Linked DNA regions of Cricetulus griseus. The protein of the gene in region 1 interacts with the protein of each later gene in a pairwise test. Links are inferred from orthologs where the notes say so. Each region holds a gene or a part of one and is shown on either strand. Other genes may lie near its edges.

Evidence for each region.
Region 2: the proteins of Vps52 (region 1) and Tead4 interact in binary tests that used the Homo sapiens proteins (3 or more experiments, as listed by UniProt). The two-hybrid records come from large-scale screens. The link is inferred for Cricetulus griseus from reciprocal best matches to the Homo sapiens genes VPS52 and TEAD4.

Annotation. Positions count from the first base shown.
Region 1 is NW_023276806.1:232,049,443-232,054,766, reverse strand, and holds part of Vps52 (vacuolar protein sorting-associated protein 52 homolog), read left to right. Parts: intron 1-110; coding exon 111-168; intron 169-1,463; coding exon 1,464-1,597; intron 1,598-1,907; coding exon 1,908-2,063; intron 2,064-2,476; coding exon 2,477-2,595; intron 2,596-2,909; coding exon 2,910-3,033; intron 3,034-3,188; coding exon 3,189-3,284; intron 3,285-3,373; coding exon 3,374-3,481; intron 3,482-3,639; coding exon 3,640-3,705; intron 3,706-4,183; coding exon 4,184-4,295; intron 4,296-4,515; coding exon 4,516-4,634; intron 4,635-4,780; coding exon 4,781-4,927; 3' UTR 4,928-5,324. UniProt on the Homo sapiens protein: Acts as a component of the GARP complex that is involved in retrograde transport from early and late endosomes to the trans-Golgi network (TGN).
Region 2 is NC_048601.1:18,162,079-18,167,402, forward strand, and holds part of Tead4 (transcriptional enhancer factor TEF-3), read left to right. Parts: intron 1-827; coding exon 828-871; intron 872-1,348; coding exon 1,349-1,404; intron 1,405-4,258; coding exon 4,259-4,398; intron 4,399-5,122; coding exon 5,123-5,296; intron 5,297-5,324. UniProt on the Homo sapiens protein: Transcription factor which plays a key role in the Hippo signaling pathway, a pathway involved in organ size control and tumor suppression by restricting proliferation and promoting apoptosis.

The sequences.
Region 1 (5,324 bases):
CAGGGACAGGCGGGGACAGGTGTCTGTAGGCAGGGGCTTGGAGGAGGGACTGAGTTCCTCACCTGCTGGTGGTGGGCAGCCATGGTTGAGCTCTCTGTTGTTTTCTCTAGTACGAGGAAGTTGCTGAGAAGGACGATCTGATGGGTGTGGAAGACACAGCAAAGAAAGATATCCTGGACCAGGGAGCCTCGCGTCAGGCTCACCTCCCTCAAGTCAGGCTCCACCTCCCTCAAGTCAGGCTCCACCTCCCTCAAGTCAGGCTCCACCTCCCTCAAGTCAGGCTCCACCTCCCTCAAGTCAGGCTCCACCTCCCTCAAGTCAGGCTCCACCTCCCTCAAGTCAGGCTCCACCTCCCTCAAGTCAGGCTCCACCTCCCTCAAGTCAGGCTCCACCTCCCTCAAGTCAGACTCCACCTCCCTCAAGTCAGACTCCACCTCCCTCAAGTCAGGCTCCACCTCCCTCAAGTCAGGCTCCACCTCCCTCAAGTCAGGCTCCACCTCCCTCAAGTCAGGCTCCACCTCCCTCAAGTCAGGCTCCACCTCCCTCAAGTCAGGCTCCACCTCCCTCATGTCAGGCTCCACCTCCCTCAAGTCAGGCTCCACCTCCCTCAAGTCAGGCTCCACCTCCCTAATTCAGGCTCCACCTCCCTCAAGTCAGGCTCCACCTCCCTCAAGTCAGGTTCACCTCCCTCAAGTCAGGCTCCACCTCCCTCAAGTCAGGCTCCACCTCCCTCAAGTCAGGCTCCACCCCTCTCAAGTCAAGCTCCACCTCCCTCAAGTCAGGCTCCACCTCCCTCAAATCAGGCTCCACCTCCCTCAAGTCAGGCTCCACCTCCCTCAAGTCAGGCTCCACCTCCCTCAAGTCAGGCTCCACCTCCCTCAAGTCAGGCTCCACCTCCCTCAAGTCAGGCTCCACCTCCCTCAAGTCAGGCTCCACCTCCCTCAAGTCAGGCTCCACCTCCCTCAAGTCAGACTCCACCTCCCTCAAGTCAGACTCCACCTCCCTCAAGTCAGGCTCCACCTCCCTCAAGTCAGGCTCCACCTCCCTCAAGTCAGGCTCCACCTCCCTCAAGTCAGGCTCCACCTCCCTCAAGTCAGGCTCCACCTCCCTCAAGTCAGGCTCACCTCCCTCAAGTCAGGCTCACCTCCTGTCAGGCTCACAGTGGGGATGCCTGGCTCCAGCCCACAGGCCTCTGCTTACCCTGTGTCTGGGATGTAACCTTTGAGGATGTGAGAGAGAGCGAGAGCTCCCCTCCCAGAGGCTCACATCATTCTGACAGTTTTTCACGTGGATTTCGGAGGGCTTGTAGAATCCCTGACGCCCATTACAGGTATCAGGTGAAGCGAGGCCCTGGTTCTGGAAGGGATGTCCAGCTCATATTTAGCTTCCCAGAGTGCTCAGGTCTTGGCTTCATGGCCTGCTTGGTCATTCTCAGTGTTTTCCCTGACTCTGATGCTGTTCACGATTCTTCTCGAAGCCGTCCCTCCGAAGCAGGAACACCATCTTCACCCTGGGCACCCGTGGTGCGGTCATCTCCCCCACCGAACTGGAGGCCCCCATCCTGGTGCCCCATACTGCCCAGCGTGGGGAGCAGAGGGTATGAGGAGGCCCCCTCCGTGGCTGGGGATCAATTCGCCTGCTGCGCTGTGGGGACAGGAGCCATGGGCTTAGGGTGCAGAGGGAGACTGGTCGTGGGGTGGCTGTCATGAGGCAGCAGCTGGAGTGGATGTGGGGATGGCCGCAGCCAGTGGGGTGGGCTTTCCTTGTGTCCTGTGCGCCCCCAGGGTGCCCCTCCCTTCCTGGAGGTGAGGTATGTGTGGGGTCTTCCGAGCTCTGGTTCCTGGGATACACTGAGCCCCCGTATCTGCGGGGTCAGTGTTGGATCCACCCCTCTCTCTGTCCCGTAGTATCCGTTTGAAGCTCTCTTCCGCAGCCAGCACTACGCGCTCCTTGACAATTCCTGCCGGGAGTATCTTTTCATCTGTGAATTTTTTGTTGTGTCTGGCCCAGCTGCACATGACCTGTTCCATGCTGTCATGGGCCGCACGCTCGCCATGACTCTGGTAAGTCCCCGATTCTGTGCTTTTACTCTCCCTTCCCAGGGCTCCTCCACGTCCAGTGGGGTCACAGTGGCAGTATTGAATGCAGGATGTCCCGTTCTACGTTGTCCAAGCCTTTATCTCACAACATGGCCCCCTAGGAAACCCTCAGAACTCGGGGGACCTGCTGCTTCCTCTGTTTCCACAAGCAGAGAGCAAGACCTCTAAATCGCGATCCTTTACCTCCATCCCAGGCTCAGCCCTGGCTTCAACTGTGAGGAGCTTACAGAGTTGAGGCCAGTGAGTAAGTCAGGGCCCCTGGACAAGGAAGGAGGTGTCTCCCTAGCCAGCGCCTTGTCCCCAGAAGTGCACATCCATTTGCTCATAGCCACTGGAACTTCAAACTAGCATTCAGTTGTCTGCCTGCTGTGCCGCAGAAACACCTGGAGTCCTACCTGGCCGACTGCTATGACGCCATTGCTGTTTTTCTCTGTATCCACATTGTCCTCCGATTCCGCAGCATTGCATCGAAGAGGGATGTCCCTGCTCTGGACAGGTCACTGAGCTCTGGTCCTGGTGCCTGCTGGGTCCAGCTTTTTATCTCACACCGACAACTCCACCCTGCCCCTGGCTCCTCCTCACCCGATGTCCTTCACCCTTATCCTGTGTGTGTCCCCAAGGCAGCATCCCTGTCACACACACACACACACACACACACACACACACACACACACACACACACATCCGTGCATACAGACACGGACACACAGGCACACACACACCCGCTCACATTCCCCTGAAGGGTGCTGTGCCCCCATGGCCTGCCAGCACCCGTAGCCTGCTGACCTTTGGTTCTGACTGACCCTGCAGGTACTGGGAGCAGGTGTTGGCCTTGCTGTGGCCTCGGTTTGAGCTGATCCTGGAGATGAACGTCCAGAGTGTCCGCACCACCGACCCCCAGCGCCTCGGAGGACTGGACACGCGGCCCCACTATGTGAGGGCGGGGGAGGATAACAAGGGGTCTCGGGGTCACACGCAGCGGTGGGCTGGCCACTGCAGGAGGAGGGACTGGGGACAGGAGCTGCAGAGGCTGCTGGGAGGTTATGTCGGCCTGGCAGGCTGATGGGCGTCTCCCCTCCTTGGTCCTAGATCACGCGCCGCTATGCCGAGTTCTCGTCTGCCCTTGTCAGCATCAACCAGACCATCCCCAATGAGCGCACCCTGCAGCTGCTGGGGCAGCTCCAGGTGGGCCGGGCGGGGCGGGCAGGCTTCCCAGCATGGGGAGGGGCCCTGGGACCTGTGTCTCTGACTTGCTCTCTGTTTGGCTTTTGCAGGTGGAGGTGGAGAACTTTGTCCTCCGAGTGGCTGCGGAGTTCTCCTCCAGGAAGGAGCAGCTCGTGTTTCTGATCAACAACTACGACATGATGCTGGGTGTGCTGATGGTAATGCTGCCCTCCCCCACGGGGCGTGCCCATGCTCGTCAGCCTCACCAAGGGGGCTTTAGCCCTGGATTCTGGCAGTGTCTGCGGTGTGGTGTGCGATTACAGGAGGTGCTGGGCTGAAGGCTGTTCCCAAGTTCCTCACTCTTTGTCTTCCTTAGGAGCGGGCTGCTGACGACAGCAAAGAGGTGGAGAGTTTCCAGCAGCTGCTCAATGCGCGGACACAGGTAGGGCCTGGGCTTGGCAGGGAGACCTCAGTGTGCAGTCATGGTGACAACTCACTGCCTGCTGCTAGTCTGTCTCATTTAATTTATCAATAAATTAATAACTTAAAAGCAAAAAACTATAACGGTGTATGTATGTGTGTATATAAGTATGTATGTATGTGTGTGTTTACACCTGCTTTGCAGGGCATTATTTGTGTGTGTGTGTGTGTGTGTGTGTGTGTGTGTGTGTGTGTGTGTGTACGTATATGTGAGCGCACTCCCAGGCACATGTTGTGAAACACATGGAGGTCATAGGACAATGTCAGGACTGGGTTCCTTTCTTGCTTCTTCCACTTTGTGTTCTGGGGACCAAGCACTTCTCCCCTCCTCCCCAAGGCCGGCTGCTCTGTGGAGTGTCCCCTCCTAGTCCTCCCAGTCCATGTTGGGGTCCTTTGTTCCCAGGACCCCTGACTCAGTTCCAGCTTGCACTTCTCTCTAGGAATTCATTGAAGAGTTGCTGTCTCCCCCCTTCGGGGGTCTGGTGGCGTTTGTGAAGGAGGCTGAGGCTTTGATTGAGCGTGGACAGGCTGAGCGACTTCGAGGGGAAGAAGGTATGAGACTGTTGTCGCGGGACTGTGGGGAGCTGAGTTAAAAGGACAGTGAGAGTGTGCAGGTCTCAGGGGCGGTGGCACAGAGGGGAGGACTTGAATGGAGGAGCACCAGGGAGCCGGGATTGAGGGTGAGCATGGCTGTGCCCCAGGCAGGCCTCGCCGGGGTGGATGGTCCCCAGGCCTGGTTGCTCTCTGACACTCCCTTCCCTCCCGTGGGCAGCCAGAGTCACTCAGCTGATCCGTGGCTTTGGTGGTTCCTGGAAGGCGTCGGTGGAGTCTCTGAGTCAGGATGTAATGCGGAGTTTCACCAACTTTCGAAACGGAACCAGCATCATCCAGGTGCCGCCACTCCAGCCTTTGCCAAGTCCCACGCTTGATTGCTTGCTCTTTCCTCTGGGAAGTCAATGACAGCTGTGTCTGAGATCCCGGTGAAGCTCTGACCTCCTGTCACCGTCAGTCTGACCCCGACTTTCCTCTCTGTGCAGGGGGCGCTGACCCAGCTGATCCAGCTCTACCATCGCTTCCACCGAGTGCTGGCACAGCCGCAGCTGCGGGCACTGCCAGCCAGGGCCGAGCTCATCAACATTCATCACCTCATGGTGGAGCTCAAGAAGCACAAGCCCAACTTCTGACTCTGTCTCCAGGGCTGACAGCTCCCGAGGACTCTGCAGTCACCCAACACTGGGACCTGCCGGCTTCCACGGGCTCTGCATGTCACACACTGTCACCCGGGTCCCCTTCCCTTCTTGTTGTCTCTGAGGCTTCCACAGTCCTCCTCCGGCCTCCATTGCAGGACTCAGCCTCAAGAGAGTGTGCCCAAGGCCAGGTCTTCCTGGACCTCTGAGGTGACTTTGTGACTTTCCCATCCCTGTCACCGCCACCCTGTTGGTTCACACCTGTGAGAGCCCCCACTGCTTCATCTCTGACTGAGTCTCAACTCTTAGAAGAGCGGTGGAGGCGGCCTCCACTCTCCTGTAGCTTGGTGGTCTGCGGTCTCCACTTGAACACTAACCCATCACCTCACTCTGT
Region 2 (5,324 bases), on another chromosome or scaffold:
AATAACACCACGGACTGGAGCTGAAAATCCTGAGCTTTGACCAGCACTACCCGGTCCTCAAATAGCCACCATTTATTCACCCGTGACCCAACTCCTCCTGCTCAGTATCGAGGCAAAGCCCACCTCCTGTGTGGACAGCTGATACCTAATGACAAACCTGTGCTCAGATTTTGATTTTTGTCCGCCTAATGACCAGTCTCTTAGCCATGTCCACATTGCCACACTTTTAGAATGTTCCAGGAATGGTCCCCCTTCCCAAGCTTGTCATATAGCCTCCGTAAGAGGCCTCACTTACACTGCCCTCACATGCGGGGAGGGACATGTGTTAAATTCCACAGGCCTCTCTGCCGTCGTATTTCACAGGGAGTCCTAAAGACTGCTAGGTGGGATGTTAAGTAGACAGGACAGAACATGATTGTGTAGACGCTTGGATTGTATAATTTTTTGTATTCGATGTGGGAACCATGCACCTTATGCAAGCTAAGCACATGCTCTACCACTGAGCCCCTGCGTAGATTTCTTGACTTTAGGACCTGGGAACCTTTACATGCTGAAGAACACTGCGAGTCTCGATGGGAGGGAGAAAGTGCGGGGTCAGCAAGCCTGGCTTTCCCGGTGGGGCTCAGGGAAGGACACCTTGGTGTTGCTGCGCCTGTTAGCGTCAGCCAGTTAAACAGAGGCATTGGCTTTCCTTCCTCCCACTGCTGGAGCTGCCTTTCTTCCTCCTTTCACACCCAGAGGCCTGCATGGTCTCTCCCTCAATCCTCCTGGGCTCTGGCCCTGTGCACAACACAGCCAAGCTGAGTCTGTACCTTTTACCTCCACAGTTTTGGCAAGGAGCTTTGCCAGGCCAACCCGGAACATCCCATGAGTGAGTACGGTTTGATTTTTCTATCCCAAGCTCCCCGAGCTGAATTCGAACCCAGCACTTTAGGAAATGGAGCCTAGCTTGGGGAGGTGGAAGCAGGGGGAGATGGGCTGCAGTGTGAGATCGGCCTTTCCAGGATGGCCTTGACCTTAGGGATGAGGCTTTGCTCTCAGACGTCACTTGCTTAGTCTGCATTGTCCACACTTGGAGTGCCATTTACTGAAGTGCTCATCAGGACAGGGTATAGGAGGGGCTCTAAAGCTTGGTACCCAGCGAGACATCTGCTTGGCCTCTGCTTGATGGGAGGTGGAGTGCACCAACAGACATATTGCTTCTATGACTCAAACATAAAACCTGAGGGAATTGGCAGGGGACGGTGCTGGAAACCAATGCCTGCTAAGGCCACCAGTGGCCAAGCCACCAGAGCTACCCTGCAGCCCTTCCCAATGGCTGATGCCTCCTCTCTCCTTTTTCCCACAGTGTGAAACCTTTCTCTCAGAACACCTATACTGTCCAGCCTCCGCTGCCTCTGCCAGGTAAGTAATGATGCATGATCCCCTTGTGTGTCAAACCCTATGGCTCCTGCCTTTGGTCCCAGGCTCCCAGCACCTGGGGTCCTGTTAGATGTCATGACATCATGTGTCAAGACCGTACACCCCAATTTTCTCTCTATACCACACTTCCTCATAGGTAACATGGCATCCTGGGGTGACACCAAATGCTGTACTTCTTGCCAGTTGTGCTCAGGCCTGGCTGGGACACAGAATTGGGAGGAAGTGCCTGTGTCCCCAGGCCGCTGTTGTAGGGTATATGTGCTGGTTCTTCAGGCTTCATCCTTAGAGTGCTGCCTATTGTCTCTCAATTGGGAGCTGAAGGGAACTGGCTTGCAAGCCCCTCCCTAGCACCCTTCCTGATGGCTGGAAAGTGCTGTTGGGCAATGTGACAGCAGTGACTTACTGGTTTGGGCCCTTCCTCAGGCCTCAGTGGGCCAGCTCTGACCTTTTCCCAAGAGGCTCCCTCAGCCCCTTCCACGCTGCAGTCCAGGCTAGGCTTTCAACCTTCCTTGGAGAGTGACCAGCTGAGATATTGCAGTTGCAGCCTCTCAGGCTTTCCTGCCACACCTGATGTCTGATCACCGCTTCTTTCACCCACAGAGGGAGCATCACTGAGTCGGGCCCAGTCCTCATGTCCTGTCCTCTTTTCTGTTCTCTTCCCTCTGTCCATGCTGATGCGGTCTGTACTCAGATCCTCCTAGTTCTTGCCTGGATTCCTGCGGTGGCTTCTTAACTGGCTGCCCAAGATTCTCAAAGCATCCCTCTCATCATGGGATTTCCAGGCTTAAATGCTTCCTGGCCCCGTGGTGCTGTGCTAGACTGCTCCTCCTGGGCCACGGTTCCTCCTACCGGCCCCACCCAGGTTAGATGGCCTCTGTTTGCCCATCCAGGGCTCTGCAGACCTTTGTCTATCAGGGGTGTTCTTCCTGTTCGTGTCTGACTGTGCCTCCGAAGCTGGTATCTGCAGATCCTTGTGGGTATCCTGTGCTGTGTTCACAGCAGTTCCTGGGTGCACTGGGGCTGCAGGATGGAAGGGAAGAAAGATTTGGTGGCTGCACTAAGCATGGGCTGGTGTGGTCAGCATGGTTGGCCGCTCTCCTGGACTGTTCTTGGTCTCTTCTTTGTTTTTTGTTTTTTGTTTTTTTTCCCCCTGTGCCTGAGTTCATTGCTTCTGCCCAGGGTACCAGTGGCCACCAGAAGGAAAACCTGATTCATAAAGGCCTTGCCCTTAATGTGCCCCCCCCCAATCCTACCTTTCTTCCACAATGAAGAAGGAATGAAAAACTGCTAAGCTGAGTGACCGAGAGCTTGTCTAGAGTACTCTCAGCATAAAAACCAAAGCTCTCATCTTTTTGTTTTTGGTTTGAGTGGCTTTGGAGGCTGTCCTGGAACTAGCTCTTGCAGACCAGGCTGTCTCGAACTCACTGAGATCCGCCTGCCTCTGCTTCCCAAGTGCTGGGATTAAAGGTATGCACTACCACCGCCCGGTCACAGCTCTCATCTTAAAAGGAATAAGAGATATTTTATTCTGGAGCCATTGTGAGTGACCATGGCCTGGGAACACAGATTTAGGTTACCCCAAGTTTCATATTCCACCCTGGAAATGATTTCACAGGATTTTCATAGTTTTACTGAACAAAGAAAGTCATAAAATCAAGGCAACTTTAAAATACACTGGATACAGCAGAGAGGTGGGTACAAGGAGATGGGGGACCTATTCTATAGGTATAAGATGCTATGTGATGTCACTCTTAGCTCCTGGTGTTCTGCTGAGTTAATGGCTTCTAAGAGCTTTCTATTTATTATCACGAGGTGTTAGTTCAGATACAGAGTGAGTCAAGGCATGGCTGTCCCAGAAGGCTAACACTAGCCCAAGATAAAGTAATCAGCCTCTGACCCTATATATTTCCGGTCTCTCCAGAGCCCTGAAATTCCAATCGGTCCATCAGTCTCGGCGGACACAGAAACTCCTTCCAGGAGTTTTTGTTCACAGCCAGGCACAGCTTCTTTTCAGGAATTTTAGTTCACATTCCCTGCTCTAGGCAGGATTCCATCCCCAGTATTACCAGGAAAAAAAAAAAAAAATTGCAGAACTGACAACTTCCCAGCCCCACTTGATTCGACCATAGGCTTTCCTTGATTTAGGAATAGAATCAATCCATCCTGTTTGCAGCATCTCGGGCTGACTACAGAGCCTGTTTCCAGCCACTACCAGTTCAGACATGCTCTTCAGACATGAAGATGTGGCCTTACAGATTCTCTCAGTTGGTTCCCGTCCCCGTCCCCCACCCCCACCCCCACCCCCACATTCACCTTTGACTCTTCCCAGCTTGGGTTCCCTTTCCCTATCTTCACTCAGCACTTGTCATTTGAACTAATGACTTCCTTATCTTGCTCAGCCTCAGGAGCACCAAGAAGTCTTCTGTGGTGCCCAGGGCACACCTCTATCAGGCTGGCCCAGGCCTGCCTTCATTAGAACCCTCTGTTGTAGGTGGTGTTCTATGGGTTTTCGGCAACTGTGAGTCCTCCAGGAAACTTCCTGCTCCCAGGGCCTTGGAATCTATTGTGCTAGTTGTTTCAACTGGCTATCTAACTGCCTGGACTAGAAATGGCCCTAGGGCAAGAGTCCTGCTGTGCCTGCCCTGGCAGTTTTCCAGGCAGCCTGTGCTGTTCAGATCCATCTGCCTGGTGCAAGAGCCTGTGCAGAAGCCTGGGACCACTGGCTGGATCTTTCATAGGCTCTGTCCCACCACTGGGCAAGCTTTTCACTGGTTTTGTTCAGTCCTCACTGAGGATAGCAGCAGGGAGGACAATGTGTCTCTCTCCCTTCTTATAGGCTTTGAATCTCCTGCAGGACCCACCCCATCACCCTCTGCTCCGCCAGCTTCCCCATGGCAAGGCCGCAGTGTGGCCAGCTCCAAGCTCTGGATGTTGGAGTTCTCTGCTTTCCTGGAGCGCCAGCAAGATCCTGACACAGTAGGTCTTCCATGTCTGACTGTCTTACCCCAAGAGAGGCCATCTTAATCTCAGAGGCTCTGCCATTGCTGTAGGGCCTCAGTCTTGCAGGCCCAGAGTAGGTTCCCAATCCCACAAGCCCCTGTCCTCAAAGTAAGCCTCAAGTCCTGAAGCTTCTGTCCCCGTGCTACATGCCCCTGTCACTGGAGGCCCTATCCCCATAGTAGGTTCCCTAGTGCCCACCCTAATAAGTGGGTCCCACCCCGGAAGTCCTGCCTCCAGAGTAGACCCCGCAGGCCCAGAGGTCTCACTCCTCCCCACCCCCCTCTGGCTTTCTTACCTTTCTCCCCCTCTCCCTTCAGGGCTTAATAGATTCCTTATTCTTTCTTCTCTCCTCGCCTGCCTGCCCCCTCCTCCTCTGTTCCATGCTTTCCCTTGCTCTCTAGAGCTCTCCCTCTCAGCTCTCTCAGGTTTCTCCACTATCTCCAATTTCTTTTCCTTTCCTCCCAACCCCTGCCCTCCCCCCTGCCCTCCAGTCCTTGTCTATGAGGGGGCGGGGCGCGGGAAGCTGAGGATACAGCAGGTCGCTTCTGACCCATTTTGTCTCCCTCTTCCCAGGGAGGAAAGTGAGGCCCAGAGAGGTAAAGAGATTTGCCCCAGGTCACAAGAGAGGCAGGCAGTTGGGCTGTCTCTCTAGCCTACCCTTTGGCTTCGGATCTCAGACTGATTGTTCTTCGGTCCACAGTACAGCAAGCACCTGTTTGTGCACATTAGCCAGTCGAGCCCAAGCTACAGTGACCCCTACCTCGAAGCCGTGGACATCCACCAGATCTACGACAAATTCCCAGAGAGGAAGGGTGGCCTCAAGGAGCTATTTGAACGGGGGCCTTCTAATGCCTTCTTCCTTGTGAAGTTCTGGGTAAGCTCTGGGCCTCTCCTTCCTTCCT